Arabidopsis thaliana: one gene and its partner. The protein of the gene in region 1 interacts with the protein of each later gene in a pairwise test. Each region holds a gene or a part of one and is shown on either strand. Other genes may lie near its edges.

What was found.
Region 2: the proteins of GAE5 (region 1) and AT1G11915 interact in a protein complementation assay, tested with the Arabidopsis thaliana proteins (one large-scale study listed by BioGRID).

The regions. Positions count from the first base shown.
Region 1 is NC_003075.7:7,288,423-7,292,696, reverse strand, and holds GAE5 (UDP-D-glucuronate 4-epimerase 5), read left to right. Parts: upstream 1-1,576; 5' UTR 1,577-1,848; coding exon 1,849-3,159; 3' UTR 3,160-3,505; downstream 3,506-4,274. Other genes in the region: AT4G12240 (zinc finger (C2H2 type) family protein), read right to left, coding at 3,708-4,274. UniProt on the Arabidopsis thaliana protein: Involved in the synthesis of the negatively charged monosaccharide that forms the backbone of pectic cell wall components.
Region 2 is NC_003070.9:4,020,182-4,024,088, forward strand, and holds AT1G11915 (wall-associated receptor kinase galacturonan-binding protein), read left to right. Parts: upstream 1-1,568; 5' UTR 1,569-1,648; coding exon 1,649-2,465; intron 2,466-2,610; coding exon 2,611-2,652; intron 2,653-2,772; coding exon 2,773-2,903; 3' UTR 2,904-3,111; downstream 3,112-3,907. Other genes in the region: AT1G11920 (Pectin lyase-like superfamily protein), read right to left, coding at 3,486-3,707, 3,814-3,907.

The DNA of each region.
Region 1 (4,274 bases):
CTTCTTTCTTTACTTTGAATGCTTTGGATTCGATTCTAAACGATGTTTTTATGTCTTGCTTTGGATTTGAACTTCTTTCTTCTATTTGAATGGTTTTATTTGGATGTTTTGAATCTTGCTTTTTGGGTTGAACGTATGAAACTTTTATTATGTCATGCTTTATTGATTTTACTTTAAGTTTTTTTTATTACAAATTTACAGGTTTTATGGTATATGTGGTTAGTATCAAGTATGTTCGGGTATATTATAGTAGTTATAAACTAGTATCGAATAATATTCGGTTACTTTTTGGATTTTTCAATGGAAGTACCAATACCTACCCAAACCCAAAATTTACCGGATCGAACCCGAACCGAAGTTTTCAAATACCCGAACGGGGTCTAAAATTATAGTTCCGAAAAATCCGAACCCGAAAAAATCGATCCGAACCCGAACCGAATACCCAAACGCCCAGGACTAGGAGAAAAATACTCCTATCAACCAAATGAGTGTATATCAGACGATGTGTACGGACTAGCTTGATAATTAGTACAAGCGTCAAACAACAATTTTTTGAAATAAATTTAGAATTTTGTGCAATAAAAGCAAATTTCTTTGACCCAGCCGGTTATGCTCTAGTAAAATTAGTTAATGATCGCTAGAAGGACAAAGTCAATCTTGATTTTGATAATATCCTAATCTAACCAGAGTAATTACAAATTAACTGTATATGGCATAACCGATATTTTGGTAGTAATTGATTTGGCTCCTTATTACCATAAAGAAATAGAATTTTATTATAAAGAGATCAATTTTCTGATAGGTTAACTATACTAAGCTGATTAATATCAGTGTTGCGTGATTATATGGTATATTACGATTTGTATATCTTATTAAATGTGGATTATTTCTTAAAGCTTTTACTATGACACTAGGAATATATAACATTAATTTTCGTTTGATGTCGAAAATAATGGTTAGGTGAGATATAACAATCATAAACTAAATTAAAATAATATTTAACTTATCACGAATATTGTTCACATTGCTAACATACTAGCATGTATCCACATAGTATTGTTCACATTATAAGTAGAAAATTCTTATTAAAAAATAAAAAAATCACTACATTTTTTAATGCAATTTTATTGTTTACCTCCTAAAAAACAGATCAATTTCATAAAATAAAAAATAACTCGTAATAAAATTCCTCAAAAATAACCGATTTTGTATTATTTACTTTTTTGTCAATCGATATAAATTAGAACTAAAAAAAGTTAATCCCGAAAGATATTATTTATATATATGACATGATACGATCGATTTTATATCTATTTTTATCATTATTACCCCCGTTATTTCACATTTCTTATAACCTTTTGTTATTGTATAATTTTTCTTTTTATTATCAATCGGAACAAAGAAATACAGAAGTTAAAAGCAAAAGTAGTAAATATTATTAAACAATTATTGCGTGTAAAAATAGTGTATATGTGATCGTGTACAAAAGTACATGCATAACATGATCAATATAGAATGCAATACAACTATACAAATGTCAACAATCTACAAACACGTTTTAACTTTGAAAAGCAATCTAAAATTCATGAATCTAAATATACTCTCTGGCAGCTTTCTTATTACCATATCTTAAAGATTGAACCAAATAAATAAATTTACATCATTAACCAAATTAAACCATCCACATTTAATTTAATTACAACAAGTAAGTAAAAGATCGTCTCTTTCTTCTTTCCCGGAAAATCCTCTCATTTTTGACTTGCTCAATTTTGCTTCCTTAAGACCCAAAAATCCAAACCTAACCCTAATCGACATTTTCTCCGATTTCTAAATCCTCCTCCGGTGAAAATGTCTCACCTTGATGATCTTCCTTCTACTCCCGGAAAGTACAAAACCGATAAAGTTCCACCGTACGGGATTCTCCACCACCACCGTTACCTCCGTCTCTCAAAACTCACCCTTTGGGCTTCTCTCTTCCTCGCTCTCTTCCTCTTCTACCTCGTTTTATCTCCTCCTCCGTCACCATCTCGCCGGAATCTCAACGATTCTTCCTCCATTTCCGCCGCGAAATACGGCGGCTCTCACTGGGAGAAACAAGTCCGTAAATCCGCTCGTCCTAGGTCTCACGGCGGTTTAACGGTATTAGTCACCGGAGCTTCCGGATTCGTCGGTACTCACGTCTCGATCGCGTTACGAAGACGCGGCGATGGTGTTCTAGGTCTCGACAATTTCAATCGATACTACGATCCAAAGCTTAAACGAGCAAGACAAGGCCTTTTAGAAAGATCAGGTGTTTTCGTAGTCGAAGGCGATATAAACGACGCCGTTTTACTCAGAAAGCTCTTTGATGTTGTCCTCTTCACACATGTTATGCATCTCGCTGCTCAAGCTGGTGTGCGTTACGCAATGCAAAACCCTGGCTCATATGTTAACAGTAACATTGCTGGGTTTGTGAATCTATTAGAAGTATCGAAATCAGCGAATCCGCAACCTGCTATAGTCTGGGCTTCCTCTAGCTCTGTTTATGGTCTGAATTCGAAAGTACCCTTTTCGGAGAAAGACCGTACCGATCAACCAGCGAGTTTGTACGCAGCTACGAAGAAAGCAGGTGAAGGAATTGCGCATACTTACAATCACATCTACGGATTATCGTTAACGGGTTTGCGGTTTTTCACTGTCTATGGACCTTGGGGTAGACCAGATATGGCGTATTTCTTCTTTACTAAAGATATTCTTAAAGGGAAGACGATTACTGTGTTTGAATCTCCTGATAAAGGTAGTGTTGCTAGGGACTTCACTTACATTGATGATATTGTAAAAGGTTGTTTAGGTGCGTTAGATACTGCTGAGAAGAGTACTGGTAGTGGTGGTAAGAAGAAAGGTCCTGCTATGTTTAGGATTTATAATTTGGGGAATACTTCTCCTGTTCCTGTTACTAAGCTTGTGACTATATTAGAGAAGCTTTTGAAGATGAAAGCTAAGAAAAAGATCATGCCTCTACCGAGGAATGGGGATGTTGAGTTTACTCATGCCAATATCACGTTAGCGCAAGCAGAGCTCGGTTATAAACCTGCGGTTGATCTTGAGACGGGTTTGAAAAAGTTTGTGAAATGGTATATGGGTTTTTACACTGGCTCGAAGAAGAAGAGTTCTTGGTGAGCTCTGTCTCTCTGCTTAAGTCATGGTCTCTGTTTCCCCTTGTTGAGCTTGGAGTTCGCTCTAGGTTAAGCTTTTGAAACCGAGCACTTGCATTGCCAGGAAAAATCACTTACGTATCTGCATTGTTTCTGTGTTGCTAGATTTTGCTTCATTTATTTGTTAGTAGATTTTGAGCAATGTACAGCTTCATCACTTAGATGTTTCAATTGTCGAAACTCAATTGTCTTTTCCATCATGTCGGAGGAATAAAGTAGCTTGGATTTTGATGCATATACTCTGTAGTAATTCAATCTATTGTCACTTGTTTCTTGTGAATTCAAACATATATTTATTCTTATTCTGACCAATTTTTACATAGCTCTAATCACTTGACTAACGATGATGGTTTGGAAGAACAAATCAAATCACTGCATAATCTTATAACAAGAAACAATGAATGTTCTCTAGCCTGAAGTTTATGTAATATGCCAATAGATTCACAAGATTGTTCTCTAGCCTATACCATGTTATCTTCCTCTGCGCAATCAACCACGACATATGCGATGATGTTATCGACAAGTTCTTGAAGATCCAACACCATCTTCAGTATCGATCTTCCACCAGTCAACACCATCACCAATCTCCACAGGTTCCACCTCTGTTCCATTCTCAATCTCATCATCATAATCAAACTCGTAATCCCAAACACCGCAAGAACCACCTCTCTCTTTCTCCAAAGCAGGATCATAAGTCCACTCCAACTTCTTCAACACATCTCTATCCTTCCACTTCCCCACAACTTTCTCAACTTCCTTCTTCGCCTTCCCCATCGTCACTTCCTTCCACGAATACGCAACATCCGCTACTCGCTTCAGCGCACCTTCGTTCGAATCTCCAATCACAACCGTCCTCAAACACCTCTCCTTAGCTTCCCACAAAATCCCCGCAAAATCAGAATCATCAGACACTAAAACAACACACTCCACTTCTCTCTTATCCATCACTTCAACCAAATGTTCCTTCAACGCCTTATCAGCAGCATCTGGCTTATCACTAACCATCTTCACCCAAAAACCAGCTCGTTTCAGCTCATCAGCTAAACCGTAACCTTCCTTCGGAGTCAAAACATTCCTCGC
Region 2 (3,907 bases), on another chromosome or scaffold:
AGCGTGGAAGCAATAAATAAAGTAAAAACTCTCTTGACTTTGCAAATGACTAAAGACTTCTTTTGCTAGAGAAAGTGATATAAACCTTGAAATCGACATTTGCTTGCCGAAATCAGAAAGCAAATACCCAGATTACAACAAAACCCTAAACATCCGTTCCTATAAACCTTTTCAACATAAATGGAAAGTTTTGTTCAATAAGACAAGCAATCTAGTAAAAAAAGGAAACAATCTCAATTGCACCAAGACTCACATGCAACATAATTGATTCATAAGACACTGAAAATCGCCACAATCGCGACAATAACAAGAGCATGAAATTTATTTTCTTCTTCTCAATCAACTAAAAACGATCACAACTATAATCGATAAATCTTCAAGTAAACAGTCCGATTACGTAATCAAACAAACCTAAAACCCCAAATAAATTCATACCACCGATGAAACCAAAATTAGCCACAAACCATACACAGATCACAAAATCTAAGCGAGTCTACTAATCACATCATACAATCATCCAGATTCAAAATCGAAGAACATGAAATTCGGTAACAAAACTCTTACCTAACTGCTCAGAAAACGATTTATGAACAAATCCACGAGTATTAAGGACAATAAATTAAGCAGAGAACTAAAAGTATAAGACAATCAACGAGAAGAGAATCGATAAGTTTCATAAGAAAGAGAGCTCACCAAAGCTAAAGCACCAGATTCTCAGAGAAATGAGGATTTTTGTTGAAGAAAACGAGAAGAGAGATGGTTACATTTATTTGCGAAGAAAGAGATGACTGTGAGGAGGGATAATGCTAAATTAACCGCGCTGTCTCCTAAATGGACAATTACAGGTGGAGGCCCACTGTATAATCCCGTCAAAAAAAAAAAGGAGATTTCGTGTGGGCTAATGTTTCGTTATTAGCCGTTGGATCTCTATATTGAACGATTGGATTTAATCGTTGACGGATGGATAGGAAGGCGTAACGTATCAAGTTTTATATTTAGTGAGAAATCACGTGTTTACGAATTTAGAGTGGATTACGTGCTCCTTGGAATACTAACCGTTGGATTGAGATGACTGAAATTGAACGGTTTCGATTAAAGAGTTCACCTTACATGGATAATGATCAATGTGTTGTTTATATTGGGCCTATGAGAAGCCCAATGTGTTGTTTACATTGAGATTATCTTCCAAAGATTACTTCACAAATCACAACCCTTTAAACGAAATTCTAAATAAAAGAAAATTCAAAACTATTATATACTGAAATTACTATTTTGTATTTTATAAGGTTCTCATACATTTTATTTTTTTTGTTAAATGGTTTTTAGATAACATGTTAAAGAACAAATTTTGTTGTAAAATATCAGAAAAAAGAATAGTACGTTTGTTGACATATTGTATGTAAATATTTCAAATAATCTGAAACAAAACCACGAGTCCTCTTGGAATACTTTATACTAAAAAGAAAGGTGAAATTTTAAAAACAAACCGAAACCTAAAATAAGCAATATTAACAAGCACATGACAAGATTGATTCTTAAACTCTTTAACAAGACATTCCAAGCTTACTCAACACTTCACACCACCAAATTATAATCTCATAACTAAAAACTACCCAATAATCAAATCTAAACTCCTAATTTTTGAACAATGTCTCCACTTCACTCTTACATTATCTTCTTCTCCCTTCTCATGACCATCCTTCTTCAATCATCAACAACATCATCCCAATCAAATCTCTGCAGATCTTCTTGCGGCAACATTCCGATAAATTACCCTTTTTCCATCGACGACGGTTGTGGTAGCCCTTATTACAGACACATGCTCATTTGCTCCGACAACGATACCAAGCTCGAACTTAGAACACCATCTGGTAAATACCCTGTTAAATCTATAAGCTACTCTGATCCTCACCTTCTTGTCTCCGATCCATTCATGTGGAACTGTCAAGATCGAGACAATTTTCGACCCACTAGATCTTTTAGCATCGATTCAAGTACACACTTCACTGTCTCTCCTCAAAACGACTACTTGTTCTTCAACTGCAACACCGATAAAGTTATCGTCGAACCAAAACCGCTCTTCTGCGAAAGGTTTCCAGATAGATGTGACTCGTCCTGCGATAGTTCTAGCTATCTATGCAGACATTTGCCTGAATGTGGCTCTGCTTTGGGATCTAGGGTTTCTTGTTGTTCGTATTACCCTAAAGCGACTCAATCTCTTAGGCTCATGCTGCAGGACTGTGCGACGTATACAAGTGTGTATTGGAGGAGTACAGGTGTGGAGAATGCACCGTATGATCAGTTTCCAGAGTACGGGATAAGGGTTGATTACGAATTTCCAGTGACAATGAAGTGCCTTCTTTGCCAAGAAACGACTAAAGGTGGTGGAGTTTGTGGGTTTAATACGAGGACACGAGATTTTTTGTGCCTTTGTAAACAAGGCAATGTCACTACTTATTGCAAAGGTCAAAATGTCTATGTTCATATCTTTTCGTCCTAACTACAATTTCTATTGAGAACTATTTAACTACTATTAGATAGTTTTTTTTTTGGTAGGGACTATTAGATAGTACTAATACGTATTTTCAATCATTTTGATACATTCTGCAGATCCAAGCCTCGTAAACCATAAACGCGTAGGAGCTATCGCAGGTAAATAAGCAAGTTTACTATAACTACAACATGAAGTTTGTGGTCATCTTATTACTATATGACTTTATATATACTTGTAAGTTGTGACCTGATTTGAACCGGAAAATTTGTCGCTAACAGGAACAGTGACGGCAGTTTCAGCGGCAGGAGCGATTGGCGTTGCCGGTGGAGTATATTGGTACTTGAGGAAAGTGAGAGCCAATGCTCCGGTCACTTGTGGAGTTCAAAGCAATGAGAACAGAATTTTCTAAAAGCTCCAATGAAATCATAATTTTAAAAAGATTAAAAGCATGGTCACACTCACACTCTTCTTTTCTTCTTTTTTCGCTCTCTTTTGCCTTTTTTGTTCTTTACCTTTTATCTTTGATTTTGTGTATACTACAAGTTCTAGATAAAGATTTTCGTATAATTTTTTGTGTTTTCTTATACAATAGTAAATTTTTCGTTTTGGTCGGATAGTAATCTTTTGGTAGGCACCAAGCAAGAAAAATTTTGCAAGCATAATGGTAGCTGTACCGTCATCCATATTAAGAATCACATAATTGTTCGTATAAGCCAAGACAAAAACTTCTCCAAAATACTATACTCTTCACATTGGTCAACTTCAAATCTTTATACAAAACAAATCTTGAAAGTAAAACAAAAAGTATATAAATCCTCCAAGATAACTTGAATTCCGTCCCGGGTACTGAATAATTCACAAAACACACCTCAGGAACAGGAATTCCGCCTCGTCGTTTCCAAGGAAAGAAACAAAATTATCAAAACGTTACATTTTATGAAACATTATATATAATCACATATGTATATATACGTGAATAATAATTAATTAGTTAGCAAATTCTGCCGGAATAGCAATGGAGAGGACCGGCGGATGAAGTAAGCAAAGGGACGAGAGAGCCGTGAGACACCGGAAACCGCTCTGCTCTTCCGTACAACGGCGTGACGGTTCCGTAGCCAGAAGGCACGAAGTAAGCTCCGTTCTTAAAAACGTCTTTGGACGTTCTCCATTTCCATCTCTTCCAATCATATCCACTATCTATTCTTTTTGTCACCTAAATATATAGAATCATATATATGCATGTAAGATTTCATTGCATTATTGATGTGTGGTATTGTAATGATAGTTATTAAAATATTAACTATTTTAAATGAAGAGACCTGTTTTTTGCTAGGGTCATCAGAAGCAACGAAGTAGTTGCCTTCACTAAAAATGGTTGGATCAGCACTTCCTCCGATCGCATACATTTGCCAT